Rhinolophus ferrumequinum: one gene and its partners. The protein of the gene in region 4 purifies or fractionates together with the protein of the main gene of each other region. This does not show direct contact. Links are inferred from orthologs where the notes say so. Each region holds a gene or a part of one and is shown on either strand. Other genes may lie near its edges. The genes, in order: MAP4K5, NEDD9, DOCK5 and CRK.

What was found.
Region 1: the proteins of CRK (region 4) and MAP4K5 purify together in Homo sapiens (affinity purification with mass spectrometry; 4 studies listed by BioGRID and IntAct, with this or other methods). This does not show direct contact. The link is inferred for Rhinolophus ferrumequinum from reciprocal best matches to the Homo sapiens genes CRK and MAP4K5.
Region 2: the proteins of CRK (region 4) and NEDD9 purify together in Homo sapiens (affinity purification with western blotting; 3 studies listed by BioGRID). This does not show direct contact. The link is inferred for Rhinolophus ferrumequinum from reciprocal best matches to the Homo sapiens genes CRK and NEDD9.
Region 3: the proteins of CRK (region 4) and DOCK5 purify together in Homo sapiens (affinity purification with mass spectrometry; 3 studies listed by BioGRID and IntAct, with this or other methods). This does not show direct contact. The link is inferred for Rhinolophus ferrumequinum from reciprocal best matches to the Homo sapiens genes CRK and DOCK5.

Annotation. Positions count from the first base shown.
Region 1 is NC_046289.1:41,696,461-41,704,043, reverse strand, and holds the start of MAP4K5 (mitogen-activated protein kinase kinase kinase kinase 5), read right to left. Parts: upstream 3,010-7,583; 5' UTR 2,860-3,009; exon of another isoform or gene 2,811-2,859; intron 2,586-2,810; 5' UTR 2,478-2,585; coding exon 2,370-2,477; intron 1-2,369. UniProt on the Homo sapiens protein: May play a role in the response to environmental stress. Appears to act upstream of the JUN N-terminal pathway.
Region 2 is NC_046292.1:82,820,922-82,828,834, reverse strand, and holds the start of NEDD9 (enhancer of filamentation 1), read right to left. Parts: upstream 3,002-7,913; 5' UTR 2,755-3,001; coding exon 2,725-2,754; intron 1-2,724. UniProt on the Homo sapiens protein: Scaffolding protein which plays a central coordinating role for tyrosine-kinase-based signaling related to cell adhesion. As a focal adhesion protein, plays a role in embryonic fibroblast migration.
Region 3 is NC_046301.1:41,911,902-41,918,763, forward strand, and holds the start of DOCK5 (dedicator of cytokinesis protein 5), read right to left. Parts: upstream 3,019-6,862; 5' UTR 2,795-3,018; coding exon 2,752-2,794; intron 1-2,751. UniProt on the Homo sapiens protein: Guanine nucleotide exchange factor (GEF) for Rho and Rac. GEF proteins activate small GTPases by exchanging bound GDP for free GTP. Along with DOCK1, mediates CRK/CRKL regulation of epithelial and endothelial cell spreading and migration on type IV collagen.
Region 4 is NC_046304.1:16,425,165-16,432,091, reverse strand, and holds the start of CRK (adapter molecule crk), read right to left. Parts: upstream 3,014-6,927; 5' UTR 2,864-3,013; coding exon 2,623-2,863; intron 1-2,622. UniProt on the Homo sapiens protein: Involved in cell branching and adhesion mediated by BCAR1-CRK-RAPGEF1 signaling and activation of RAP1.

The DNA of each region.
Region 1 (7,583 bases), on a different chromosome or scaffold from region 4:
GCATATGCCCACAGAACTAGGTGATAGAATTACTGATATTCATTCATTCATCAAATTTTTAGAAAGCACTTATTTTGTGCCAGACATAATTCTAGGTGCTATTTGACACAGAGCAGTGAACAAAACAGATAAAACTCCTGCGCTCATGGAGTATGTATGTTAGTGGATTGAGATAGATGATAAACAATAAAAAATGTAAAACATTATGCTAAATGGTGATCAGAGCAAAGGAAAAAATAAAGTAGGAAAAAAAAGATGGAGAGGGTATAAAAGCAAGGGAAGGGAGGCAAGCCATGTGGCTGTCTAAGGAAAGACATTCTGAGCAAAGGGAATAGCAAGAACAAACACCCAGAGGTGGGAAGATGCTTATTATGTTTAAGAAAGAGCTAGCAGACCAGTGTAGCCAGAACAGAGTGAAGGAAGGGGAAGAGTAGTAGATGAGGTTGGAAAGATCAAGGGGCTGGAGCTTCCTGGAGGAATATCTGAGTAAGACTTTCATGGACAGGTAGGATAGCAACAGGTGGAAATGGGAGGTGATTTCAGGTAATTAGAAGAAAGGAAAACAAAAGACAAGGAACCGAGTTGAAGATGTTTATGAATCAGAGGCTAGACTGAGAGTATATGTAACTGTGAGAAAGCATGAATGTGAGGGAAGGTGATCGTGCGGAAGGGGTGCCATTGAAGGTGGTATATGATATTCAATCTTTGACCATCTGTTTAGGAGCTGTGGAAGAGGGACAAAGAGCAAGGAGGCCCCAGGGTGAAAGAAGAATTAGCTGCCCCTTTAATATAACCTTTTGAATTCCCTTGCAAAAATAAAATCCTGCTCCGGGTAGCTGCTTCAGTTGCTGTTATTTATAAAGGAAAAGAGTAGAGGTCTTGGGCTTTTAGTGGGGCAAACACTTATATATGGATTAAATAATAAGACAAAGATGACTAAAAAATAAGAATGAGAAGGCAAACAGGAATTTCAATTTTTTAAAGAGCATTCCACAACATGACTAATTCATAGATCAACAATTAAGAGTGAGCTACCTCTAATTCTACATAAAGAAAAAGAGGATTATGTTATAATTATCTACTTTGAATTTGAAAGTATACAAGGCAAGAGCTGGGACCTACCTCACAATTCAAAACCCCTTATCTAGAACAGTGCTTAGTACAGAAGATTTAAATACCTGCTTAACAAATAAAAAGCCAACCCATTACAGTCCATCTCAATAGAATCAAACAGTGCTAGAGCTGTCATAACACCACTCGGAACTGTTAGTATTAACAGAGATGATATTAAACCAAAGCAGAAAAGCAGAAATGTTTTCCTTCCACATTACCACCTGTGCAAAAACAACATAACCCCAGAAGACTCCACTGGTTAATTACCCACATAACACACAAGGCCCTTTCAGATACATGCAGGAGTGTTATTTGGAATGATGGGATACACACATACCATGATTAAATCCAATAAATAAAGCTGTTGCAAAATCAAAGGAAATTTCCCTTAATATACCTATATGAGTTGCATTATTACTCCCTTTTGGAACAGAACAAAAAGCCTAAGGCAATCTGAAACAATCTCCTTCCTCTTGATCCTTGAAGAACTAACTCAGTGGACTTAGGGAATTGGGCTTGCTTCTCTATGATGTTTTCTTAAGTCCCAAACTAAGAGAAACTCACCCTCATCGTGGGTCTCAAATAATGCAAAAGATCACAATTAAAAAGACAGCAGCTCTCATCCACTCTTGATCATGGGATGCTATAAATCCCAGAGAGGAACTGCTGAAGTAGGAAAAACAAAACAAAACAAAACCCATTGACCAGATACAAATGATAAAACTTCTGCCAGGAAAAGCATCTTTCTGCATAGGATAATGTTTGTGCACAGATCACTTTGATCCAGTATTAGATTGCGTACAGTTAAAATTGAGATAAGGTTTTCATACGACTTTTAAAGTCAAGCTCATCCATTTTAGTTTTTTTAAATGCAGATGCCAATATGTCAATATTCTTTCCTGTCTACTATCTTCCATGAAGGACTTCTCCATGCTAAGACTAAATCATTCTCAAGTGCAACTCCATAAGCAGGTTCGAACTCCCTTCAGTACGATAAAGAAGCGTTAAAATGCCTTTATACCACAAAAAAAGGACAACAGTACTTTGCAAAAGTATGTTTAGTTCTGCTTCTTGGTAGCGATTTGAGCAAGCAATGCACGGAGTGAAAGGGATCCCGGCCGCTGTATCTCCACGATGCAAACAATAAAAGCATCCTCCCCCCTCCTCATACTTGGCCAGAAAGTGGCCCTATTCCCGAGAGCCAGCCGACCGCAGGAAAAGCGCCCGGCTCGGGGCCGGGGCTCGGTCTGCCTCACCTTATAGACGTCCCCGTAGGTGCCGCTGCCGACCCTCTGGACGAGCTCGTAGTCCTGCTGCGGGTTCCGCCTCAGGATGTCCGTGGCAGGCCGCAGCGGGGCCTCCATCTTCGCTCAGCACCCGGCCCCCGCCGGTTCTGCCCGCGGCGCCCTGTTCCCGCTAACGAGGACGAACGGCGCCGCTTCCCAACATGGAGCCTCTGCCCGCAGCTCCGCCTGCACGAGGGACAAGCAAAGGCGGGTCGGCGCCGCGGGCTACGACCCCGAGTGGCCCAGCCCCTTCCCTTCCGCCCGGCTGGGGGCCGCAAAAAATAGGGCCAGTAAATAGGTCCCCGGCGCCCCGCAGCCCCGTTTTGGCCGCGGCCGTTCCCCCTTCCCCGCCGCCTGCAAACTGTCTGTCCCGGCCTCCCCGCCTGCCTGGTCCCAGGGCCGGCTGGGTACCTGAGGGGGGCGGCCCCTCTCTTTGTTGAGCGCCGCGCCCGGGACCTACTTCCTCGCCGGCGCCTGCGTCCTGCTTTCCAGCGCCCGCCGCCCCAAGCCTTGTGCCGCCGCCTCCCGCTGCACCACACGTCCTCTAGCTGGCGGTGGAGGCGCGTACGGTCACCGCCACCGCCGCCGCCGCCGCCGCCGCCGCCGCCGCCGCCGTACCACGTTCCCCACCCGGGGCTGCGTCACCCGGAGACACGTTCCCGGCCAGCGTGGGTCGGCGCCCAGCGGCCAGCCCGAGCGCGCCGGCCGCAGGACCAGAGTGCCGCCCTGAGGCCTGGTCGGGACACGACACCCTGCCGGCCGGGCCACCGCGCCCCCGCTGGCCCAGCACGTCTTTTCAGGGCCCAGGCTTTACTACCCTCTCGCAGAGATTAGGGACGCCCCTGGGCATTTGTGTGCCGATAGGCCGCCGCTAAACTGCCCCAGATTCGTCAGGTAAACTCGGTGACGGGTAGAGGGGGAAGAGTGGGCACGAGGCGGCTGGGAACGCAGCCCTCCCAGTTCAACACGGAAAAGGTACGTTGAGGGCACTGGGCCAGAAGTTACCTGGAAGTGGGGCGTCAGGCAGGAGATGGGGGCATGCCAGGTTAACTAAACCGCGGCACACCCTACTGCACCTTCCTGTTTTGCAAACCTTTCTCAGTGGTACCAGTTTAAGGCTGCACAGCACACCTGCCCAACCTGTCTTCTACTGAGTTTTCCGAGCCATTTCCTTGAATTCCTAGGAAGTCTCCATGGCCTTTATTCCTGTTTTTCACACGCAGTGTCTCCTAATACCCTCTATAAAGGGAGTGTTATACGCCCCTTTAATTGGATCAGAAGTTCTGCAGAAGCTAAAACAGTCAGAGACCTCAGCCTGGTTCTGGTTCTACCACTTCTTCAGTGTATTATCCGGCACAAGACATCGTATTTGGCAATATCTCGATATCCTTGTCTGCAGCTTAAAGAGGATAAGGTTTTGCATCTGACATCCGACAAAGTGTTTATAAAGCATTTTACAGGATTATAAAGAGGGTTATCAAATATAAGAGGTTTTAAAGTACTTCACAAAACACAGAATATCAAACAAATTCGGGGGAAGTAATTTGGTTGATATTTCACAAGCTGGTTTGCAGTTTCAGTTCCAGTCTTGTTTTGAAGGTAGAAATAAAGTTGCCAGATTTATGTATACTGGCAAAGGTATTTCTAGCACCCAGTAGGGGTTTTGAACAGAAAAGCCACATAACACTCAGCCAATGCATTTGTGACTGAAAAATCACAAAAGAGCACGCTGCAGATGTTAGCTTATGGCTTTGAATATCCAATTCAGTTCTGTTTTGGGGCAATATGCTCCTGTTGTTGATTATTATAATCAATTGTATAATGTAGGAATTAAATTCACACCTTAGCAGGACAGGGAAAACATGTATTTTCTTGTGTTCCCTGCACAAAGGGCACTTATTTAGGGAACATAAGTAAGCTCAGACTTACATGCTCTATGGACAAAGCCTATGTGTTTGCTGCATTGAAAAAATTGTTGAAGAACAGTTCCTTCTTTCAAAGCTTCTTGGCACTTGTTTGGGTGGGCACATACTTTTGGCTTCAATGACTCAAAATCGTTTCAAATGTTCTATTGGTATCCTAGTACTTGTTTACTGTCATAGATTTTTTTTTTCTTTTTTTTTTCCTGTGACCCTATAAGCATTGATCTTTTCTCTAGTCTGAAACATATTTATTCTTACTTATTTATGCTTGCATTATTCCACAGAGAATTTGGGGCATCATACAAAAAATACATACTATAACACAAGACAGAAATAAGTAAATTAGGAAATAGATATGATATTATAGAGAGGGAAAATAGGATACCAGAACAATGTAACAAATTAACCAAAATAGAGGGCTTTATAGTGATCACAATGAACCAGTTGGAGATCACAATGAACCAGTTGATCAAGAGAGAGACACACTTTCTTCCCTGATTCTAAGACTTTAGAAAAATTTACCTCATGAGCTTTCATAAAGTGGAAACTTTGAATTCCCAGTTTGAAACAAGGATAAATGTCCTTCTGATAATCCTTGAAGCATGTTATTCTTGAAACACAATGTTTGATATGAATTAAGTAATAAAAAAGTGAGGTCATAGGCTTCAACAAGACCCTGGAGTGCAGATATTTTATGTTGCCAGTAATGGCAAATCCATATACTTTGACCATGAACTCAGAGGCAGATAGCACGGAAAAAGTCAAAATTCTGCGTGATGGTTAAAAACTGTGTCTGCTATAATCATTATTTTACTTGTACCACAGTTGATGCAAAGGGGAAAGCATTTGCTTTATACTAACTCCAAAAGAATCTTAAGGATTTTTAAATAGTTAGTGGTTGAGTTAATTTTAACAAGATCGGTGAAGTCATAGCTAGTGGTTAAATATTACATGGTTGGTAAAGAAATTCTAATTCAATTTCCATAAAATAAACATACAGTGTATAAATTTAATTTTATATTCTAAACAGTTAAACAGATAGGTGAAGGTTACATAATAATAATAATAAAAATTGTAGCTAAAAGGAGAGTTCCTTACAAACTACTCAGTTTTATAATGACAAGGTTTGGAATAAGAATAAATATGGCTTCATATGGCCCTTCATCCCATCTTATTTTCTTAGTGTCTTCATAATATCTGACATGCAAATTTATTCCAGCTTTTACTCTAATCTATATAACAACCTATAATAGTTTTTTCTATGCTTTGTAGCATTTTTTCCTTCTTCAGTAAAATGCTAATTGTAATCTGTGGCTTCTGGTTTTAACTTTAGCCAAGGCTAAATTTTAAAAAACAAGGGACATAAAAAATTTTAACTTCTGTATAGGTAAGATTCACAATTTACTATCCAAGACAGAATGGCTAATTAAACCGTCAAGTGTGAAAGAACAGAACATGAAAACAATAATTTTAGTGTATGGAACATAGAGGTTTAAGCAATACAAAGGTCTGACGATTAAGTTCGCAAACTTGTTGCAACACTGTTGCTAACCTTCTTTGATATCAAAGGGATTATTCTTTATGAATTTGCACCAAATAGACAGTTAGCCAACTTTACTATTTGGAAGTGCTGAAAAGGCTGTGGTGAAAAAGTTAGATGACCTGAACTTTGCACCAACAATTCATGGCTCATGCATCACGACAATGCACCAGCTCACACGGCACCGTCTGTGAGGGAGTTTTTAGCCAGTAAACAAATAACTGTATTGGAACACCCTCCCTACTCACCTGATCTGGCCCCCAATGACTTCTTTCTTTACCTGAAGATAAAGGAAATATTGAAAGGAAGACATTTTGATGACATTCAGGACATCAAAGGTTATACGACGACAGCTCTGATGGCCATTCCAGAAAAAGAGTTCCAAAACTGCTTTGAAGGGTGGACTAGGTGCTGGCGTCAGCGTGCACAGCTTCTCAAGGGGAGTACTTCAAAGGTGGCTGTAGTGATTTTCAGCAATGAGGTATGTAGCACTTTTTCTAGGATGGGTTCGTGAACTTAATTGTCAGAACTCGTATAATCTGATGAATCTTCCAACATAAATTAGTTGCAAAATGTAACTATATGATTGAGTTGAATGCTCTACAGTTTTGTTAAATATAAATTAAATGTTGGAAGGCATCGGCCATAATTATGATTTGAATTTTCAAATAGTTAAACTATTCTTTCTCTTACTAATTAGGCCCAGTTGTCTGTTGAGGCAAAAATCATGTTCTCAAAGTACGGAAAGGAGAATTCTATTTTGTTCTGGATAGCCATAGATCATGTATATCATTTAGAATCAGTATCAGGTCATTACGATGGGAGTTTTAAAAAGAAGAGTTGAGGAAGGCAGTGCACATTGCTTTTTCATCCAGCTTGAATTACTCGCCTGATATGTTAAAATGCTATTTCCATTACCCTGATCCCCATGGTAGTTTTAAGATTTATATGAGAATTGGTATCAGGGTTCCTCTATTCAACTCATAAATTGGTCCTGTCTGCAAATTCAATAACTAAGAAAATTTCAAATAATCTTATGTTCATTATCAATTTCTACATAGCACAATGAGTATAATATTCAGAAGAGGCGTCTAAAGTTTGCTTATACCTTATATATAGGCCAGTGTTCTGAGAACCTCTAGTACTCTGTCCTACAGCTATAACAGCTCTTGCAGGATTCTAACAAGCTCTTCTTCCTTACCTAACCTGTAGGGCAAGGATGATGATGGCTTCCCACTGTTGCTAGTCTCAGGGTGCTTCCCTATCCCTTGTTGGTTCCTTTAACCATGTCCTCATTTTTACAAAGTCCTTTCATTAGATTCTCTTTCTGTGCTACCTCTTTCTTGCCAGAACCCTGATTGGTAGATGAATTGGAAGTAGCCTCAGGAAGGAAACCTTCGCTTTCTGGGATGGAATTACTGACATACATGATGATTGATTACCTGTATAAACAAACTACTTGCCACAGAAAATGGAACAATGGTCTGCCATAGCATGGAGTGGCATCACAATTACTCAAGTAACTATCAGAGATGGCCGGTGATGGAATGCTGCTCGAGGACACAGCATTGGAAGATCAATCTCTAGCACTTATCTGCTTTGACAGTGATGATTACTAAAATTGTGTTATTACTCTGACTGCCTCTGTGACAATATATGGCAAACAAGACAAATAGGGAGGCTTTAATTCTATACTTAAGGCATGAGTAGAAAATCAAAAAG
Region 2 (7,913 bases), on a different chromosome or scaffold from region 4:
TCTTCTGGGGAAACAGTAGGGACACAGGAATGTTTAAGTTTGTTTGAATGATCTAAGATTCTTGCAAAACAAGCAAGTCCCAAGGAAATCAGGACATGTTCTTTCAAGAACCTCTAGAGAAAGATCAGGTTATGGTCAAAAGAAAATGAGTAGATTAGAGTCCTTACAGGTTTCATTTAGTTTCTCATCGAGGCAATGTCTTATTTTGGTTTTGCCACATTCACGCATGTGTGCAGTCACTTAACTCACAAAAACTTGTCAAATCAAATCAATTAAAACTGAGTTTTAATTTTTGTTAATAACAACAAAAAAGTCTCACCTTGCAGGATTGTAAGGGAGGAGAAGATACAATGAAATAAAAGCCTCCCCAGTTATAGGAATCCGGCCTTCTCCATCAAGGTTGTAGGGAGTAAGTGTATGTAGCAGTTGGTGTTTCTGAAGGGAAAATTTGATCAGGGTACATGGCTCATTCTTCACTTTTATTTCCTCCTCCTTGAAAAGTCATAGGTCTCCAGGAAAATTGCTGGAGACTATATGCTTTTTCCTTTTTCTGTACAACCCTATACCCTGGGACAAACTCACTCACATTTGATTGTGGGTTAAATCCTAAATTTTCATGTTAACTTATTTAAAATGTTTCCGATTGGTTTCTCCTTTTCTATTTTTTTTAAATGCAAACCTTTATGTATGGGAAACTATAGTACTGTTTTAGAATTTAACTCTAAATCTTCTGTGGGAACAGAATAAAAACTATCACCCAAGTCTGTTTCTGCTTCCTGAACACAAGAAGCAGCAACATAAGTATGCTTTTAGTGCATATGTGATTGCAACATCAACCTACAAAGAATAAAAAGGATTCAGCACCTGCTCTTTCAGACAATGATGATTCATACAATGATATGACAGCAATATAGACCAATGGATAAGCATCGAGAAAGAATGACATTTATCTGATCATTTTGTATTGGTTTTCATTTGTTGTGGGTTGTCATTTGGAACCACCAGTTAATATCACAGCATCTTCAACCATAAGTTACAAGCATATGGTTAAGCTTGTTAGATAAAATACAGAATGACCAGTTACATTTGAATTGCAGATAAACTATGAATACTTTTTTTTTGTTTGATAAGTATATCCCATGACATATTTGGGACATACTTATACAAGAAAATATTTGTTGTTTATCTGAAATTCAAATTTAACCGGCAGTCTTATATTTTTATTTGCTAAACCTGACAACCTTACATGAAGAGAAGCAGTATTACTGCCATGACAGCCATCTGGAACAAGAGGAGAATCCCATCGGGTCCCAACGATGACAGCAACTTCCTGTTAATTAGGACACACTCACAGCATACCTAGCTTCTCTCTCCCCACGGAGAGAGGACCTCGTACCATCTCCAGCCTGCATCCTCTCTAGAAGCTCAAGTAGGTGGAATCTCCCTGGTATTAGTGCTAGCTGAGAGTTGCTAATCGAGAGTATTCCCATCACCTGAGCTGTAACGAGTGTCATTTCACTTTAGCGAATATTTATTAAGCACATATTTTGTAAAACAGTATGCTAGTCTGAGTCTCTTTTCTCGAGGAGTTTAGAGTCCAAAACTGAAGACTAATATGTCTATAACTGATGCTAATTCAAAGCAACATGGGAAAAGACACAAATAAAGTGCTACGAGATCTCAGAGAGAGAGAAATAAATTCTGTGAGGAGTGGGAGATAGTAGAAGAGGTCATGGAGGAAAGAATGGGTGAGCGGGGCTGGGCAGTGAAGGAAGATTCTCGGTGGGTAAAGAGGCAAGCCAACAACTTCCCGTGCTGAGAGAATGGAACCACCAAAGAGAAATAGGACTGTGTGGCCAGAGAGGGTCTTTCTTCCATTTCAGGGGAGAATGATTCATTTATGTGTTGATTCAGTAGGTATTAATTGAACACCAAGGCATACGTTAATGTAAATTTGCAACTGTGGAAAGAGCTATGAAGAAGAGATACAGGTACCATAAGGGTCGTGTGTGAGGGATGACCTAGTGAGGGACAATGTCTGTGTGAGAGAGGCCGTGATTGAGCTGAGCTCTGAAGGGAGAAAAGAATTAACCAAATAGCAAAGGGTGGTGATGGCCTGGGAGGAAGAGGACATAAGGCAGATGACACATGTACAAAGGCCCTATGGCAGAAGGGAGCAGGAGGCATTCAAGGAACTAAAAGAAATCCAGTGTGTTTGGAGCATAGAGAGTATGGAGGGATATTATGCTTGAGAGGCAGGTAGTGGTTGGATCCATGTAAGTCCTTTGGCATCTGAGGCATCTGGGTCTCGATGGATCAGCAAAGTGAGAAGAATTTCACAAGTTACTCTGTGTGGTTATTGCTAGAGGGTGGTAGGATACCTGGTATCGTAAATGAACAGTAGCAGTTTGACAGAGTCTCAGGGAGATATTTCAGGCCTTAGAGGGGTAAGGGAATGCAGGGTAACAAGCCACTGGCTTGGCTTTTCAGAACCACCTTTCCATTTTCAGATACCTGACAAGGCAGAGCCCTTACTGCTTGAGCTGGAATCTACCTATGGAGGCCTTCGGGGCACTAGCATTTTTTTCTCCCATTGGTTAACCTTCTGTCGAGTGTACCTGTGGCAGGAGGGCAGAATGGTTCTATAACTTGGCAAACTCTTGGAACCTCGTTAGCCCACTCCAAAACTATAGGGGCGCCTCTGCTTTTGTTGGCTGTACTCACCAAACAATTACCAAGACGCATAGGTGCCATGTCTTTCACAGTATTTTTTGATATTTCTTTCTTGTATTAGACACTTGTCACAAACCCTGTAGGTTCAAAAGAGTCCTTGCAGTAGTCTTTCAGTATCAATGAGTATGAATTTATGTAGGTGACCTTCTATGTTGTGCAAACTCAGAGCAGCTCCCAAGTGGATGGCGTATTTGCTGACTGATCCACTTTTGTGCATCTTCCAACTTTATTGCAGGCCAAATCTCCCTTTGAGTGGCACTGGTCAACCTCTGAGTGTGACGGACATGTGCTCAGGAATGCCAGGAAACAAGGCAAAATTTATAAGTATAATGGGTCACGTTGGCTCTGAGACCCTTGGGAAAATGCAAAGTATGGCCAGTGGACTCCTGGTTCCAGACCAATACATTTTTGGGGGGCCATCAACCACATGGAACTTATTAATGGTGGTTAATAGATCCTTCAAATGGTACAGCCCAGGGTTTTCCAACTTTGGCACTATTGAAATTCTGGGCTGGGTAATTCTCTGCTGTGGGTGCTGTTCTCAGCATTGTAGGATGTTTCACAGCATCCCTGGCCTCTACACATTAAATGCCAGTAGTAGCCCCTGTCCCCAGGGGTGACAACCAAAAAGGTCTCTAGACATTGGCAAATATCCTGAGAGAGCAAACTGCTCTGGTTTAGAACCCCTGGTGCACTCTACACTCCTCATTTATCTAATGGGAAAATTGGGATCTGAAGTGGGAAGGATGCTTCCTGAGGGCCCATGATCCACGGAAATAACCTTGGAAGTCATCCTCAGTAACCCAATTCTTGTCTGGGCCAGTCTCTAATACTGACTATTTTTCTGAACTTTGCTTCTTTCTGTCAATGTCCCCACTCTAGACACTGTTCCTTACCCCTTCCCTTTTGTTCTAATTTTATTCTTTCTTGGCTCTTCTTGCCCCTGAGTTCTGCCTCACTAAGAGATTTGCAAAGTAGAATTCCAGTCCAACAGAAGAGCTGACCTTAGGCAAAAAAAACTCTAAACAGGATGAGAATTGATGCTTTTCATTTCTGCCTTCCCAGCAGCCCCCAGAGTGCCAGGCACAATGTAGATGCTGTGTGTGTGTGTGTGTGTGTGTGTGTGTGTGTGTGTGTGTGTGTATAGTAACTGAGTCACATAAAAGTTTATCTTTCCTATTCCTTATCTCCTATTCTAGTGATTAGTCCCTTGCTCATGGACAAGTGTCCTTATGTCCATCTGTTACTTTTAAAACTGATTCACACCAATATATAAACAACTGATAACAACTGCAAATTTTCTACAGAGTGAGCGTATCCTGAAAGAGGAAAAGGGCAGACGGAAGGGCCTCTGTTATAGCAGTGTAACTGGTTGCACTCTTGTAGCACATAACTATGGACCTTTTCTTTTTTCTTTTTTTGACCTTTTTCTAAATGGATCATCTAAAACCAAAGTGCAAAGTAAAGGTAGATCAAATCACGTGTCATTACAGCATCCTGTAGCATGCACAGCAGTCAATTTCCTGGTGCAACTACGTTTTTAAAGGACTCAGGGCATTAAGCTCTGGCATGCTCTGAGGATGGCATGTGCCTATCGGGGAGGCTCAGAGGCTTAACCAAGCCACCAAAATGCTGCTTGCACATCAGCCATTTTCTTCCCAGGAGAATATTATGAGAACTGGGCCCCTCAGATGGGCTCTGTTGCAGAAGGTGTGAATGCTATTCTCCGAAATTAGCTTATAGCAAGCCTCTCTTAATGACCTAATGTGTTTGCCATCAAGAATTCGAAGGGAAGTGGTTTGTGGGTTTTAAAGCATTTTTCACGTTAAATTTTGTGTCAATTGGTTATTGGTCTGAGTAGCGATTTTGCTATTTGATTTGCTTTGGAAGCTAGTTCACCATCTGCTTTCATTGCCTGGAATGTGTACTACAGGTTGTACGTTTTGAACCACCTGAGTCCATGCGAGTTGTGACATCCCACTAGTGACTGCCACACTTCCCTTCTAGAGTGAGTGTGAAGCTGAGAGAAGTCATTAACCTCTCCTAAGGGGCAATGTCTGTTCAAGTTGGAAGACACAAAGTCATACATTTTTCAGGCCTGATTGTGCCTCAAAGCAAGGTAAAGCTGGCAAACGTCTGGGGGAAAGGTTATTTATTACTTCATAGGTTTCTGGCATTGCAGATGTTATTTTTGTCGTAAGAGGAGCTAGAAGAGCTGCAATACGAAACCAGAAAACGCACACCTCATTTCTCTCTGTTGGCACTCGGTGCTGCTGGTGTTTTTCTTGGAGATCCAGTGAAGTCTCTTTGTTCAGCATTGAGGGGGACCTGGAAACAAGACCCAGCTCGGGGCAGTTCATGTGAAGGAGCTGGGCATGGCTTCTAGGTCAGAAGCGAAATGCGCTTGCCCTTTGTGCTACATCGGTGGGTGTCCCTTCCTCTCCTGGCTCAGTGACCCCAGGCAAGCTGAGGAGGCTTACACAATAAGACCCTCTGGCAGCATGAGGGTTCCTCCCGCTGCCTTTGCTCTGATAGCCCTACGGGAGTGTTGTTTCTGCCGGTGAAGGTATTCCTGGAGGGCACGCTCTACCTGGAATCTGGGTACTCAGAAACATTTTTTCCCCCAGTTAACCTAAGTTTAAAGACCTTTTACTTCCAAAGGTTGACTTGGAAGATGGGCAGAAATGGTGAATCCCAAGTTTTTAAAAAGGCAAATCATTTTTCAGATTCCTGTAAATTGTCTGATCATGTACTTAAAAACAGCAGGATCCTATGAAAGTTTGATGTAATAGGGTAGACTTTGAAGATGAGTTTCAATCCTGTCCCCCAAAACCAGTATGACAAAGAGGGCCATCATGAACAATTTTATGAGTACGTGTGATAATTTAATCTTAGAGCTCTAGGCACGAGATATTATTAGCAAAATCGACTGTTTATACAATGGAGTTTTGATGCTCTTATTCAAAGCAAAAAAAAAAAAAAAAGACACCCTACAAAAACAATACGCAGACACGAAAGTTCTAAAACATGTTCCCTTACCCTTTCTGCAGTTAGAAAAACAAGTCGTGTCGTTAGGAATAATCAGCATAATTTCTGATTCTCCGAATGACAGACATAAATATTGTTTTAAGATAGACTGATCAAACAGCCATTTTTACATCTAGGATAAGGACATTGAAAACGACGCCACTAAGATCGCACCTTCTGAGAGGTCAGATCAGATGATTGCCTACACGGTATGGTATTAGGTAGGGTTTCCAGGTGGGAATTCCTGCCCTTTCTCAGGAATTTTTTTTGCTTTCCCGTTCCCAAATCCCAAGAAAAGTTGGTCAGGGAATCGGGAAAATCGGCTCCTTGAACCCAGTAGTACCCACGATGGGAAATAAATGTACTACTCACAATGTTTCTCTTAGACATTTTTCCTATTTATCGCTAGGGTTTCCGGGCAGGAATTCCCACCTGTTCTCGGGACTTTTTTTCACTTTTCCATTCCCGAATCCTGAGAAACGTTGGTCGGGAAATTGGGAAAATCAGCTCCTTGAACCCAGGTGGTTTGTAGTATCGGCCGTCACTTTGTGGAAACGATTCATCATGAAGCACAGAAAACAGTTTGTATCTCAGGATTCAGAACAGGAAAGTGAAAAAAGTTCCTGAAAATGGGCAGGAATTCCCCCCTGGAAACCCTAGTATTAGGAGTACAGTGATTGTCCCTTTAAAACAAACACACATGAGGGCAACCAAACAACAAGAAATCCCCATAGAAACAAGACTTCTTCCCCATCTGCTTGCCTCCGTGTCAGAAACTGTATCATTAGGAACTCATTCATTTGGTGTATGGCACATAGCTTTTCCTTTCAAGTACAGAGAATCCTATAAAGAGGAGTTAAATCACTGTCACTTACATTATAGTTCTTTACGTTCCTCCAAGCTTAGCATAGCCATCCATGTATAGAGAAGAGTTTAAAAATATATGTTGGTGGGTTGATAGTAAAAAACAGTAGAGGGTGTACATGCAGAAGCTCCCAAAAGAACATCTTCCTCCTCATAAATCTCTGTCCAGTGATGGAAATACTTGGGAAGACAGTCAACTGAGGTGGTGAAAAACAGGGACTTCAGGCAGACATTGCCACTTAAAAGTTGTGTGCCTTTGGGTGAATTGCATAATCATTCAAAGTTTCTATTTGCCCATCTGTAAAACGAAGTCAATAATATGTATTTCATAAGGTTGTTGCAAGATTAAAAGAGATGTTGAATATAAAGCCACATAGTAAATGTTCAATAAATGAAGATTGGAAAAATGAGAATAAAGACGATGATGATTCTTCACCCCACTCACTGTCACCCCAGTTGTAGCACTGAGTAAACAGACTCACATTAACTGACTTAGAAGTGGTAGAAGTTTAGCAACAGGATTCTGGGCACCTGGGAGTAGGGGCAATATTGAAGAGGAAGGATATATAGAAAGTTTGCCAGTAAGAGAAGACAAACTATTTCTCAGTTTTTGTGGGGGATGAGTCTTCTTCACACCTACTATCAAACTTTCTTAGTGCTGTAGGATATGTGGTGTGTGTGTGTGTGTGTGTGTGTGTGTGTGTGTGTGTGTGTTGCAAAAGAATTCTTCCTGGGGTTGGTACTCTATAATTTCCAAAATTTGATTGTACTCCGGTTGGCTCACTGCAGGGACAAAGCATGAAATGTTATGAGTTATTTTTTAATTACTATAAAAACTAAGCCAATTTGAAAAGTAAGCTCAGATGTGGTATGAAGTTTGTTGTGGCTGCTAGCCGTTTACTTTTTGGCAAGATATGAGATGGCTGAGCAACCCAGAATCTTAAAGCAGTAATGATTAGTGATGATAATGACAATGAGAAAATAAATCACATTTGTGTGGATCTTTTCAGTTTGCCTAGCATTGTCATGTTCGGTGTCTTGGTTTATACAATTCTGGAATATAAGCTAAATAGAGGAAGTTATTATTTCCATTTGATAGATGGGAAAACTGAGATCTTGGGAGGTTTAACAACTTTGTTAATGAAACCACAGAGCCAGGATGAAAACCTTGGTCTTTGGATTTTTAACTTATACTAGATATTAGTAATAGAGGTAAAACAATAAAACTTAATAAAATAATTGTTATTCTCCCATATTTATCTTGATTTTCATTAGCTTATTTATTTTTC
Region 3 (6,862 bases), on a different chromosome or scaffold from region 4:
CCCCAAAAGCCCAACAAGCCAATTTTCCCAATTACATTGAAACAAGCCCATCTATTCTATGCTTCCTTGTTTCTCAGCAGCACATGTCACATTTTTACTTGCAAAGGTAAAGACAGACTGAAGGCTCTCACTTTGTCCATCTAACAGAACAAAGGAAACCTCATATGGAAGTGAACGAGATGCTAAAACCTCATCTTGAAGCGAATGAGATGCTAAAACCTAATAGAGAAAAACCAGCTTTAAATCCTCACAGAAAAAGTTAGGCTAGTGCTTTAGGATGTCACCTCAACACGAAGGACAAGCAGTTACTACAGGAAGGCCCTATACCTGGTAGCATATCTCTTGAGTGACAGGGGTACAAAACCATAACCTTCTGGTTCATTGGATTCAAGGATAAGAGGATAAGTAATAATATAAGGGATCGCACAATGTAGGAATTGTGAGGGAGAGGTATGAAGGTGTGAGGTCTGGTGAATACCAAATCTGAAGGTGGCAAAGGGGAGGGATTTGAGCCCTAAGGGAAATTCTGCATTGTGGGATGCAAAGGTGGGAGGGCAATCTGAACAGGGACAAGCAGAAGGGGGCAAAGTCCCAAAGGAGGGACTCTCCGTGGCACATTGCGCAAGAGCCAGAAGGGCAGTGTCTGCACTGGAGGGTTAATGAAAGAAGCAGTGAGAGCGATAACGTCAGTGAAGATATGTTGAATTGGATTATGGGAAACTTGAAAGTTGGGCTCAGTTTAGACTTTACCCTGTAGGCCAAGGAAGGCTTCTAAGCAGAGAGGTGATATGAGTAACAATGTGTTTTAGGAATAAACGATGGTGATTTATTGTCAGATAATCTGTCCTAAGAGTGGGTCCTTCCCTCAAGTACAGATTAATCAGAATCTATTGTGTCCAGTGACACGAGTGTCAAAAATTATATCTTGGGGCAATTTTGCTACCACCTATGCCCTGGAAATGCAATTCAAATACTTTCCTTGACTGATGGAAACTAACAAGGTAACCTGAATCCAGCACAGGGTAAAAAAGAGAGAACGTCTCATACTTGCTCCTATGACTGTGGCACTAAAAACCACAGTTGTAGGATATGATTGCATTAACTACACCAAAGGCCTAATCGTTTTGCAAACAGCTTTTATCCTGGTAAGCAAAATGAGAATTGAGAACCATTTTGTAAGTAGTAATGAACACTTAGGCACTGCTCAATATGATTTAATTTAGTAGTTAGTACTGGATAATACTCAAAATGGTTTATTTTAGACCATTTCACTTCCGTAACTACTGACTACTTACTAACTGGCACTTGACTAAGCGTCCCTTTCTGAAGCTTCATGAGCAAATCATGACAGGGTGGTCTGGGGCAGGAGAAACACCACCTAACGATTTCTGAGTTGTAGCCACAGGAGAGTGCGAGGATTTGTACTAATCGCACTTTAAAGGAAAGAAAAAAAAATCAAATACGTTTTGGGAATAGGGGAAAAACAAGGAATAGTATGGACATGTATTATCACACACACACACACACACACACACACAAAAAGGATCACAATCTAAGAACAATATAGTAAACATGAGAGGGTTTGTTGTTGCTTTGGCTACAGAGTTGAACCGCATCTGGAGATAGTAAGCGGATCTCTGAAATCACTTCGCCATCTGAAAGTACTAACTAGGTTCAGGGATCTGTCCTAGGCACCATTGAGGAAGGAAAAATGGGGGCGCGGAAGGGAGTGAAGTAAACGATGAGATTACAAACAGGCCAAATGAATGAACCTGAGAGGAAGCGATAAAATTCTCAACGCACACATCTGTGTTTCTACTGGAGCGTCGCTCCTAATCGCCCCTACGGCAGAGCTTCCCCACGAGACCTGAGCAACCTCTCTCCTTAATGGAAAGTCGAAGGACCACGGTTTCCACCTGGGTCAAAACCCCGCCTGTTTCGGATCCAAACCCACACAGCAGCAACCCCTCCCTCCGCGCGCCGTGGGAGCCCTCCCGCACCGCTGCTACGAATGCCAGGTGCCTAGCGCGGGATCTGTCACGGTTTCCCTAATAAAGTGTCCTCATCTGATTTTGCGACGAAACTCGGGGTTCAGAAGGCTGTCGTTAACCCTCTCCATACACTCCGTTAGGGGATGAGCCCCGGCCTCGGGGGGCACCACCCCCGTTCCATGTCACAAAATGCCTGTCTCTTCCATCACATCCACACAACTTGAGTTTCCCATTCACTTCACAACTGTTACCCTCCAACTCCTCACTTTGGGGCTTCAGAGAGAACCGAAGAAGAGGGAGGCAGAAAGCCCTTGGACAGCGAGCAGCACTCAGCGGTCCTCCGCGGGTTACAAACTCCTGAATGAAACCGCACGGTGGGGAGGAGGGGCGCGAGCACCGAAGCTGGGGCCCCTAAAGGAGTAACCCGCGAGCGCCCTCGCCTTTGACGTTTCCACTATGCCAGGCGCTTGAGCTTTGGGTTCGGGAACAGGATGATCCGTCCCGGAGCCCAGATGCACTTTTAGTCACTCGGCTTCCCAAAGCCCGGAGTGACTTCCCCTGCGGGTCTCCTGCTCGGGGAGAGGACTCCGATTCCCCACCCGCCCCCGGACTGCGCCGCGGGAGTGGAGTGCTGACTGCGCCCCCCGGGGCCGCAGGAGCCGGACCCCAGTCCCGGGCGGCGCGCACACCCAGTGCCTGGAATCCGCCGCCCAACTTCGTGCCAGACAGGGCCGCTCCCGCGCACTTGGCGATCACTCACCAACTCCGTACTTCTGCCGCTTGGTCGGGATCCAGCGGGCCATGGCGGCGACCTCGCCCCTCGGCGGCTGTGGCTGCGGCGGCTACAGCTCCTGGGGTGCCGGCCACCGCCGCCGCGCGGCGCCCCTGCGCGCCCCGGGCTCCTCCGCCATGTTCCGGTAAACTTCCGCGACCCCACGGATCGGCTCCGCGCTGCCTGTGCCGCCCGCGCCCGCCCGGGACTCGCTCCGGCTCCGGCCCGGCCCGTGGTCACCTGCTGGGCCGGGCGGCGGCGCCGCCCCGGCCCCTCCCGCCCGCCGCGCCCTCCGCCCGCCTCCGCGCCAGGACCGGCCTCTCCCGCCCGCTCTCCCCGGCCCAGGCCAGCTTGTTCTCCGCCTGGCCGACTTCCCGGAGCAGCTTCCCAGTGCAGACTGGGGTCTGGGCTTTACTTTTGGTATTTTGCGTTTCCCCCGCCTTCCCCTCCGGGATGCAACCCTCCAGGCTGGTTCCGTGGGGGCGGGTTCCCCGGCGCCGGCGTCTGGAGGGCTGCGCTTGGGACGCTGGGCCCCCCCAGGCCGGCCGGCCGGGCCCTGGGTGGGCGAGGAGCGCGGGCTGCGTCCCCACTGCGCGCGCCGGGGCCCCGGGGGCACCGCAATGTACCAGTAAGAGCTGCTTTTCGCCCCCGGGACACCTCCAGTGCCCGGCACTCGGCGGCCCTCAGTAAATAGTTGTTGAATGAATGAGCAGTTGACGACTGCGTCCACCCCCTAGAGCTTTAACTGACACCACGCGAGCCGGAAGCCGGACTCCAGGACAGACTTGATCTCCTGTGGCCACCGTTTATAGCCTTCAAAGCAGGAACATGTGTGTCTTCTGGTAAATAGACAACAGATACAAGGCAGACGGGCTCCTCGGACGTATTAAATGGTTTCCTAGGAGAGCCTCGGGGGAACTCAGACCCTCATGCTCAAGGGAAAAGCCCGCCCCAATGCCTCCCTTTTCCAGCAGACCAACCGCGCAAAGACCATCCCTACGGAGAAGGGGACCTGGCACATCCAAGTCTTCTGGTTCACTGACTGTATTGTTTCAACGAAGAGCCAAACGCACGGATGCTCTTTTGAAGTGCCCTAGGCTCCTGTTGTTGCCCTCTAAAACTGCCCTCCTGGAACTCACTTCCTCCTGGAGAGACCTCAAGAATGAAGCGTGGATGGTGGGGAGGTCTTTAATTCACACATGGAAGTAAAAATCCGAGTAAATGACCACCTGGTTTATATTCACCGTCTGAGAAAATGACATTTGAGAGAAACTTTGTCCCTGCAGTCTGCGATGGCTTTCTTGCCTATTTGGAACATGAAAAGAAAGGAAGATAAACAGTAAAACTTGATTGAAGAATTCATGCATTTTGCAAAGTCAGATCTGAAGTTTTTAAAAAGAGGTCCTGTTCGCGGTGGCTAACTTCTAGGTTTACTTTCTACTTCATCCGCAAATAGGTATTTACCCATAAAGTGTCATAATAAGTTAAGAAATCTGTCACTTTAAACCTAACATTTAGAAGTAATACAGGGAAGGGACATGAGGATTATTTTCTCTGCCAATGGTAACAGAAGGAATTCCACCATCTCCCCGGAAATTTCTCTCTTCCTCTGCCATCATGATTAACCTAACTCCCCAGGTTAGGTAATTTCTTCTTTCCACACATATTTATGAAGGACCTATTATATGTCAAGCATTGTTTTAAGAATGGATCACAGCAATGAATAAAGTATAATCCCTCTCATCATAGAGTTTCCAGTCTAGAAGAAGTGATGAAGGCAATAAGCAAATGAATGTATGCCCAAAGAGGCTATGTCTGTGGAGAAAAATCCACAGCAAGGAGGATGGGAGAGGTTCTGTTCTATAGTGATTGGGTTAGCAAGGCATGTGGGATGGCGTTGATCTGGTGAGGTGACAATGAAATCCAGACAGGAAGGAAGTAAGGATTCCAGAGAAAGTATTCTGGACTCAGGAAGAACAAATGCAAAGGCCCAGAGCATGTTTGACAGGTTCCAAAAACATCAAGGAATACCAGGTGGTGACAGGTGAGTAAGGAGCAGAGTGTGGGAGGAAACGTAGTCCCAGCCACATGGGAAGCATAGTAAGAACTTGGAAAGCAGAGTAAGAACTTTTCCCTGTTACTGTGAGCGGTTTGGAGTGTGTTGAGCCAACCAAGGACATGATCTAATTTGCCTGCTGTGGGAGAAGCAGAGTGTAAAGACACAAGGGAAGATGCGAAAAGACCAGAAGGATGGAAGGCAATTTAAGGAGTTGGGGCAAGAAATGAAGGTAGTTGGGTCCAGGAGTGTAGGTGGAGAGGTGGGAAAGAGGTTGGGTTCTTGAAATATATTGAAGGTAGAACCAAGAGAAAGGCAGTGTGGACAGGGGAAATGACTGAGGCTTCTGGACCCCTCAGGGTACTTTCATCAGCATATGTTTTTGGAAAGTTTGCCCCCCTAAATAATGCTTTTCTTTAAAAAAAAAAAAAAAGAGCCTCACTATATACATTTCAGGCCCCACAAACCTTGGATCTTGTCCCTGGGTCAAGGCACAAGATAGGTCGAAGATGACCCTAAGATTTGAGGCTTGAGCTACTGGAACATAGAGTTGCCTTTTTTTTGGTCATCTGTGATGTCTAATTCATCTTTATCCTTTATATCCAAGTTGTTCTGTACTAAAGTTTTCTTTTGATATTTCTTTAGGACTCACTTTTTCATACCTTCCTCGGTAACTCCTTCATGTACAATGCTAGGAACTGAAGCATTTTGGGATGGGGCTTCACAAAGTTTCTTCCATCCTCCGTGTTCAAGACGATTGGATGTCCAGTGTTCTCTAACCATGGATATATTGTAAACTTAATACACATCAGAGTGTTCAATGCTCATCCAGTGGAACTGGATTTCTACCAAAATGATTTCAGCTACCTCTCCCCACCCTTGCCTTATAAGATTTTTGCAAAACTTGAGGTTTGTATTTAAGCCCTGGCTATTTCAAGTTTGACAATAATTGTGTTAAGAGGGCTGGAGGAAAATGGAAAATTTAAATTACAGCTTTGAGTATGTTTATTCTGTTTCCTCTGAAGACTGAAGTCCACCCACTTTGTTATATCAGATGGTTAAATCTCAATTGGAAAGGCCATTTAAATCATAAAAGCAGTGCTATTCAAAGTCTTTTATTAAAATGAGGCTTAAAATTAGAGAGTCAACCAGATGGGTAGGTGGAATAACAGCTTGATTCCCAGAAATATCCTTTTCCTTTTCCTCTGATTTCTTTTCAGAAGAAACATTAAGCGTATTTACAACCAGAGATATTCGACTCAAAACCCACACAAATGCAAACATACTTAGGCATACACCAACACGAGTGTTCTGTTTGAAGCGGCGCCTTGGAGAAAGCAGTGAGGATAAATGAATGTGAAGGGTAGTTTGCCATGCATATTGTGCCTATCCCTTATAATGACTGAGACTAGATGGATGTCAACAAAACTGCCAAGCACATCACTTCCTCCATTGATTACCAGGTTGACTTCGCCAAGTCTGGCTGACTGGATGGCTTCTACGAGAGACGCTGTGGATTCAGTGAAAGAGCATCTTTTGTTTTTCTAGATAGAGGAGACTCACTCTTTGATCCTACATATGAGATATGAGAGAGTGTAGTTGCTAGACTTAGCAAAAAAAAAAAAGGAAAAGGAATGTCATTGACTCGAAGCACCACTTTGCAATCTTCTGAAGGCAAATTCTTTGGGACAGGGTGATTCTCTGTAAGTTAGGAGTGGGGTGATTCATTGTAATTTGGGAGCCCTGAGGTAAATGGACAAAGGAGCTGATCTCTACAGCCCTAGAAACCTCTTTTTTATATACGTCACAAACTCACATCACTGTAGACTCTCTGCCCCGCACCCCATGACTTGAGGGGTGAGCACCTTTGAGTCTGTCCTTAGCTCTGCCACGTGGCTTTGTATGTCCAGTTTCTCTGATGAATGGGGAGAGGATGGTCAGCATTCCAAAGCTATTCCTGTCCTCATTCCCTGTGAGATTCATGCTTGGTAAGCACTTTCACTCTTTTCATGATCACAGCAAAAAGCTTTCAGTTTTGTTTCT
Region 4 (6,927 bases):
CACTGTTCCCTAATAAAGTCCTGTTCCCCTTCTCCAATAAAATCTTTAAAAAATAAATAAAACGTTGAGAATTCCTGGTCAATTTTATCCCTAAGCCTCTAAAAACCGTATCTAAGCCACACATTCTACCTAGGTATCATGCCCACAAAATACATTATATTACCCTAAGCAAAAAAGCTCCCATTTCCCATATTTACTTTTCCAAATAAGTAGGAGTTTAAAAGCCTCTTCATCATTGATTTTAGACAGATGTGTACTGTCTGAACACCAAAGCCAGTTTCTTCTTGCCATCCTTTTCTTTTGGTCTTCAGGCAGAACCTGGGACCCCAGTACAGAGACAAATATGTTGAGTCCTCTATGTACAACACTGCTGGGACCTCACAAGTAAACTGGCTTTGACAGAAAGGAATACAGTGTAATAGTGTCAGCTCTCAGGTCAGAATTCCCAGGTTCGAATTCTAGCTCAATATTTACAAGTTGTGTGACCAAGCAATTGACTGATTCTCAGTTTCCTCATCTATCAAGTGGAAATATTTTAATAAATGGAGATCCCAGGACATTCCTCACTAGATTGTTACAGATAGTAAATAAGGTAAGGCACATAAAGTGCTCGGCCAAGTACGTAGCATAGAACAGCCAGTCAGTAAATGTTAGCTATTAATATTGTATATGCCTTTCTGAAATTCAAGAAATTCCTGTGTGGTTTCAAAGGAAAAAGAGCTTGATGGGGGAAGGTCAGAAAAAAGATTAAGTAGCCTTTATAAAGAGAGCAACCGAACCACCTGCCCTACATGTAAAATAGGGTCCATGGCAGAAAGAATTACCACAATGCCCATGAACTTTCCACACCCCATCGACAAACTGTGGCAATCTTTACCTTCTCTCTTGGGCCAAGGATCTGAACTCCTCTGTTATGAAAAGGTGGAGCTCAATATCAAACACTGAGATATAAAATCATAATGCCTAGGTGTGGAGAGAGCTCAAACTAAGAAACCTGCCTGCCGCCATTTCCAAATTTTGCAACCAATAAAACACATATACAAACAAGGTTGAAAATTGAGTTTCAGTGACAATTTGCCATCGTATCACCGCACTGTAACAAAAACCCCTAGATACCATGCATGTGGTAAAAAGTAGACTATCGCTGGTATAGGGCAAATGTTACATCAATATTTCCATCTCATGTTATAATGCTATTAAACCAACCAGACTGAGAAAGACCTAGGATAATTTGTGTACTTAAAGATCCCACACTCTTTTTAAACTTGGTTTCACACTCTTTTTAAACTTGGTTTATGTTAAGAACTAACAGACTGACTATCCTTTCTCCCCATTTCTGGCCAGAGTATATAAATCTAAATTAAGACAATCCTAAAAGGGTAAGTCTGCAAAGCTGGGCTCAGGAGCCTCCTAATTTACTTGAGACTGGCTTGGTCTTAGCTGGTCAAGAGGCAAGTGCTTCAATTTGGGAACAGTGAGAAGGCACAAGGACTCTTCTTGGTGCTGTTAACACAGGTAACGGTCACCTCAGAGTCACTCTGTCCCTCCCAAAGCGCAAGCACTAAGTGCATAAATGTCCCTAATATTCCCCCAACAACTCCAATGGCAGGGGTAAGACAGTCATATCGCATCCATCCTTGGCAAGGAAGACTCAGTGCTGATCATTTAAATTCTCAGAGCATCTACCCAGCAAGGTCTGTTCCCAATATCTAGAAAGACTCAGATCACAGCCCCAACTTACTGGGCAAGAAGAGGCCCTCAAGTACAAGACTGACAATGCTTAAGTCCCAGGAAAAATGAAGTTCCGTTCACTTTCAGAGAAGGGATTGTTTCCATTGGCTTATTTCTGGTTTATTTCATGAAAGAAAACAAAAATCTTTCCTCCACTAAACACTGAGAAATAGAGCCCCCGAATTGCGGAGGGCAGTCTTCTGGACACTAAGATCTCTTGGGTACAGTCATCCAGGCATCCACTTATTCTGGGCTGGCCATACAGGGCCATCTATCACCAAGGCACTGAGCTCACCACCTTCGTCCTCCGCGAGGGAAGAGGACGGTAAAAATCTTTTGGAAAAATGCCCAAGAAAGGAAAAAGCTGAGCGGTTTCCTGAAGGGTGTCTCCATCCCTCCAGGCCAGTATGTGGTGACTTCCTACCAAAGGCCACCAGGGGAGTATAGCCAAACCCGGCTTCCTAGCATGGCAGGAAATGTTTCAAGCCTAAAAAGCCACTTGTAGGATTATCGGATTCATTCTGGGCACCGCTGCCAAGTGATGCCCCCGCAGTGCCAACATTCCCCTCAGCTCTTTGTCCCCACGTTGCCTGGCCCTGCCCTTGTGCCTGGCCCAGGCGCTAGCCCCACCCTGGGGCCGAAGCAGTTCCCCTTCCCCTGGGCTGTCCTTCCAAGTCACACCCAGAGGCCTGGGTCAGCGGCTCCTCCTCCCCCACACTCCCGCTGGTCTGTGGGAACCAGCCCCAGCAGCAAGCCGCCCCCTGCCACGATCACACCAGCCCTCTGTCCACGTCCTTCGTGGGGATCAGCTCGCGAGGAGCAGCCGGCAAGGCTGGGGAGTTCCACGGCCCTCACCCCCGCCCGGGGCCTCCCGTCCTGTCCGTCCCTCACCGGGCGGAGGCTGGGCGGGCGACGGTGGCAACGGTGGGCGCGGGCCGCTGCTGTTGATGATGTAGTGGGAGACGCGCGAGTTCTCGGAGACGCTGAGCACATAGTCCCCGGGGCTGGTGCTCGAGTCCCGCACCAGGAACACCCCGTGCCGTTGGCCCTGCAACAGCGCCACTGCCTCCTGCCGGCTCAACCGCCCCCAGTACCAGCTACTCCGCTCCTCCGAGTCGAAGTTGCCCGCCATGGCTGCCTCCGTGCCTACACGCTGGGCCGCCGCCGCGCGCGCCCCTCCAGCCCCGGCGCCCGCCGCCCAGCGGACCGGCTCAGGTCTCAGCTTCACAGCAGCGCCCGAAATGGCGGCGGCGGCCGCGGGCCTTCCCCACCGGAAATGACGCGCTCCCTGCCCTCGGGAGGATGCCGGGAAAGGGACCTCCGCCCGCCATTGGGAGAAGGGCAAGGGACGGCTCGCGCGCGTATTGCGCATGCGGTCTCATGGGCGTCGCCCCCTGGCGGGGACCGGGACTGCAGAGGATGGAGAGGCGGAGTCCAGGCCAAGGGGGTTGGGCCTCAACCAGCCATCCACAGAAGTCTGTGTCTGCTGTTGGCTACTCGATTCTTCTTCGCTCCACCAGGCTTCAAGTTACTGGAATGCCCAGGACTTCAAGGCAGCGACTCCGAGACAGAATTGGAATAGAAAAGATGATATGGACCCACGGACTCAGCTACCTGAGACGGTCTTTTTCTGACACTTCCTCCAGCTTCTCCCTCCCCAGGCTACCTAAAGCTCTTGTTTTCATTGAGTCATTCAGCAAACGGTTATTGACACATTTGCCCTGTGGGTACAAAGGTGATCAAGGCTGAGTCCTACCCTTGCCAAATTCACCAGTGAGGAACCAGGAAACAGTCAATGACAAAGGAATGCCAAATGCTATGATCGGGAACAGACAGAAGTTCTAAGAACACAGAGCCGGGCCCCCTAATCCAATCTGTAAAGAGATCCAAGAGGGCTTCCCAGAGGAGGTGGCATGACCTGAATATTGAATGACAAGGGGGAAGGGCATTCAAGACAAAGGGAACAGAGTATGCCAAGCCAGGTAGAAGTATGAAGTTGTCCTCTCCATTGAGGCTCTCAAGTCATCCTATCAGATTCTTCTAAACCCTAATTTTGGCCATGAGTGTCCTCCACTCTCCCTGCCATCATGACCATCTCTGTCTCTACATTCCATATCTATATCTATATTCCTGTGAACAGCTTGCTCATTGGTGCTCACAGCTGCCAGTGTTCTCTTCCTAAATCACAAACTTTTAACACTCTCCAGGTGTTAAAACTCCCAGTTTAGCTCACAGCATAAAAGTGGGCCACAGTCTCAATTACTTTTCCATGAACCCTGTGTTACTTCTTTCTGGATTGACCTTCCACTCCTTTTGGGATCTCAAACTCAAATGCCCCCCCCCCTTTCCTGACCACCACATCACTCCCTCTCTGCATGGCAGCACTATGTTTCTGTTATATTATCTCCATTATAGTTCTTACCCAGTGTACCGTAATCTTTCATTTACAGGTCTGTCTGTGTTCCGTGCTAGAGTTCTTTGAAGGCCAAGCATCCCCATAAATGTTACATAATAATGGCTAACATTTATTCATATTATTCACTAGATGCCAGACATAGTGCTGCTTTTATGAGGATCATCTCGTTTAATCCTGTCAACAACCTTATGGGTTGGTATTTTACAACTATCCTCATTTTACAGATGAAGCTGAGAGAGGTTGAGTAACTTGTCCAAAGACACACAGCTGCTGAATGGGGAGCTGAGATTCAAATCCTGGAAGAGAGCTATGGTCACTTTGCTATATCCTCAGATGTCTGAGATAGGAACGGTGGGAGTGGCAGGAAGGGAGAGGATGGTGGAAATAGACATTAAAAAAAAAGAATTAGTCAGCGCTGGGTTATGGTCTTACATGAATAACGCACTTCTTCTGGACACACGTCACACACCCCTGGTCCTGCCTGGGAAGGGGAGTGGAGCAAGGGCACCTTCCCTGTTGTGGATGACTCATCATGACCCTGGCTTAGTCACAGCAGGTCACTACAAGCCAGCAGCAGAAGCAGCCCCGTGTGAATTCTGGCCCTCTGGGAAAGAGAAGTGCCTGCTCTTCATTTCCCAGGATTGCCAGGCTTTGAGGCAGAACCTTACCCAGAGACTACCTGTGAGGTTCCGAAGCCATGCCTCTAAGCCCCTTCCCTAGGATACATGGGTATGATGGGGAAAAATACTTTAAAAGACGAAAGAGGGGTGGCCGGTTAGCTCAGTTGGTTAGAGCATGGTGCTAACAACACCAAGGTGGCTGGTTTGATCCCCACATGGACCACTGTGAGCTGCACCCTCTTTAAAAAAAAAAAAAAATACAAAGAAGAAAGAGGGAGAGAGAGGCAGAGAGAAAGAGGAAGGAATGAAAGAAGGAAGAAAAGAAGGACAAATCGTAACTGAGCTGGAAAATAAGAAATGAGATTGGCAAGGAGGGGAGCCACAGCCCCAAGCAGCTACTCAGTGTGTTCTTCCTTGGAGCACAGAGAATCTACTAATTCAGAGGTCAATAAGGTGGGAGCAGGAGTGGCCTTGGGACAAGCAAAAGGCAAGCCCACGCTGCTCCTCCCTCCTTTCTCTTCTCCTCCTCTCCCCTTCATACGTCAAGATTTCCAGCAATAATGGCACCTTTTGTCCCCCCTCCCCCCCCACAAGCCTGAGACCTGCCCTACAAAGAATGTGATCTTCTTGCTTAGGAAGGGCTCCTGGTGTTGGGTGGTGTGGGAGGATGGGGAAAGTACCCGAAGGAGAAACAGGTGAAAAGGGGGGAAAAGGGAAGTCTGCCCTGTTTAAGAGAAAAACGCACCAAAATCCTCCATTCCCGATCCTCCTAACCAAAGAGAGGCATTCCCTATTTTAGCAATGGAGGAGCAGGAAATCAACAACCTGCTCGCCTGCCTGCTCTGTGTTACCTAAAGTGACCAGAGTTGCCTCATTCAGCTATGCAGCTTGTGCACGGCCCAACTGCAGGGTGCTACATAAATGGGGCCGTCTGGAACTGGGCTATTCATACCCACTTTTTCTTTTAACACAGGCAAGCAGAAAGATTATTTGTATCAAGATAACAAAAATTATTATTCAGAGGGAAAACTGACAGTATTCCTTTCCAAAGTGCTTGTGAAAAAGAGAGAAAAGTGGGTTAGTGTGTGTAGACAAAGTTTGTATTAGTGGGAAAATACACGTCTGCCCTGTTCTCATTTACATATGGGGGGGAGAGACAAAGGAGACAGAGACATTTCCAAGTCTCCGCTGGAGTTTGTAGACTGTGAAAAAGAAGGATGCCCCACCCCCAGTGGGTAGCCCTTAGTTGTGCAAAGAGGAGAACCAGTCTTAACATGTGCAAAGATAAGATCTGGAGGCAGACACCAGGGGAAAGCTCTGGGGAGAAATGTGAGAGGACTCCAAGGAGAGTCTAGAGGAGGAGAATGTGCTGGGAACCAAGGCAGGAGGCCAGACCTTCCCGGAAAGGTCAGTGAGATGTTCCCAATGGCAACATCCTGTAGGACACTGAGAATGAGTTGTCTGCTTGGCTGCAACGTAAACCCCCTCCTTGCCCCCATCCTTCAGGAGAGCTGCTCACACAGAAGCCTTTTGCAGGGAGGAATCCAGGAGCAGGTGCCAAGTTCCTTGACTCGGTCCTCAAGGAACTGAGAAAATCAAGAACATCTGAGAGAGGTGAGATGGAAATGCACCTATGTTCTCTCCCTGTCTCCTCACTCTGCTCATTCCTCTCCAGGCCCCTCGGACCTTCTTCCTTTTTCTTTAACAAGCTGCCATGCTTTGAGAAAAACTTGCTGTTCCCTCTGCTGGAAATCCACAGTCACCGGCTTCAGGTCCCTGTTCCAGTGTTGCCCTCTCACCGAGGCCTTCCGTCGTCTCCAGTCCATTTGAAACTGCAAACTGCACACACAACTCTCCCTCTCCCCCTTCTCTGCTTTATTTATTTTCCTAGCACTTACCTCGCTCTAACCCATTGTTTGTTTTACGTATTTGTTTTATGTATTGTCCTCTCTTCCCTTCTAGAATATAAGCTCCATAAAAGCAGAGATTTTGTTCTTTTTTGTTCTTGCAATATCCCATGTATCAAGCCTATCTCAGAGAGCCCGGCACATTAAGTAAATGTTGGTTGAGTGAGGGAATGAATGAATAAATGGAGTCGGGTGGAGGCTCTTGTGTAGAGCCAAAATTAGCTTCCTACATTTGGCAGCTCTCTCTTGGAGG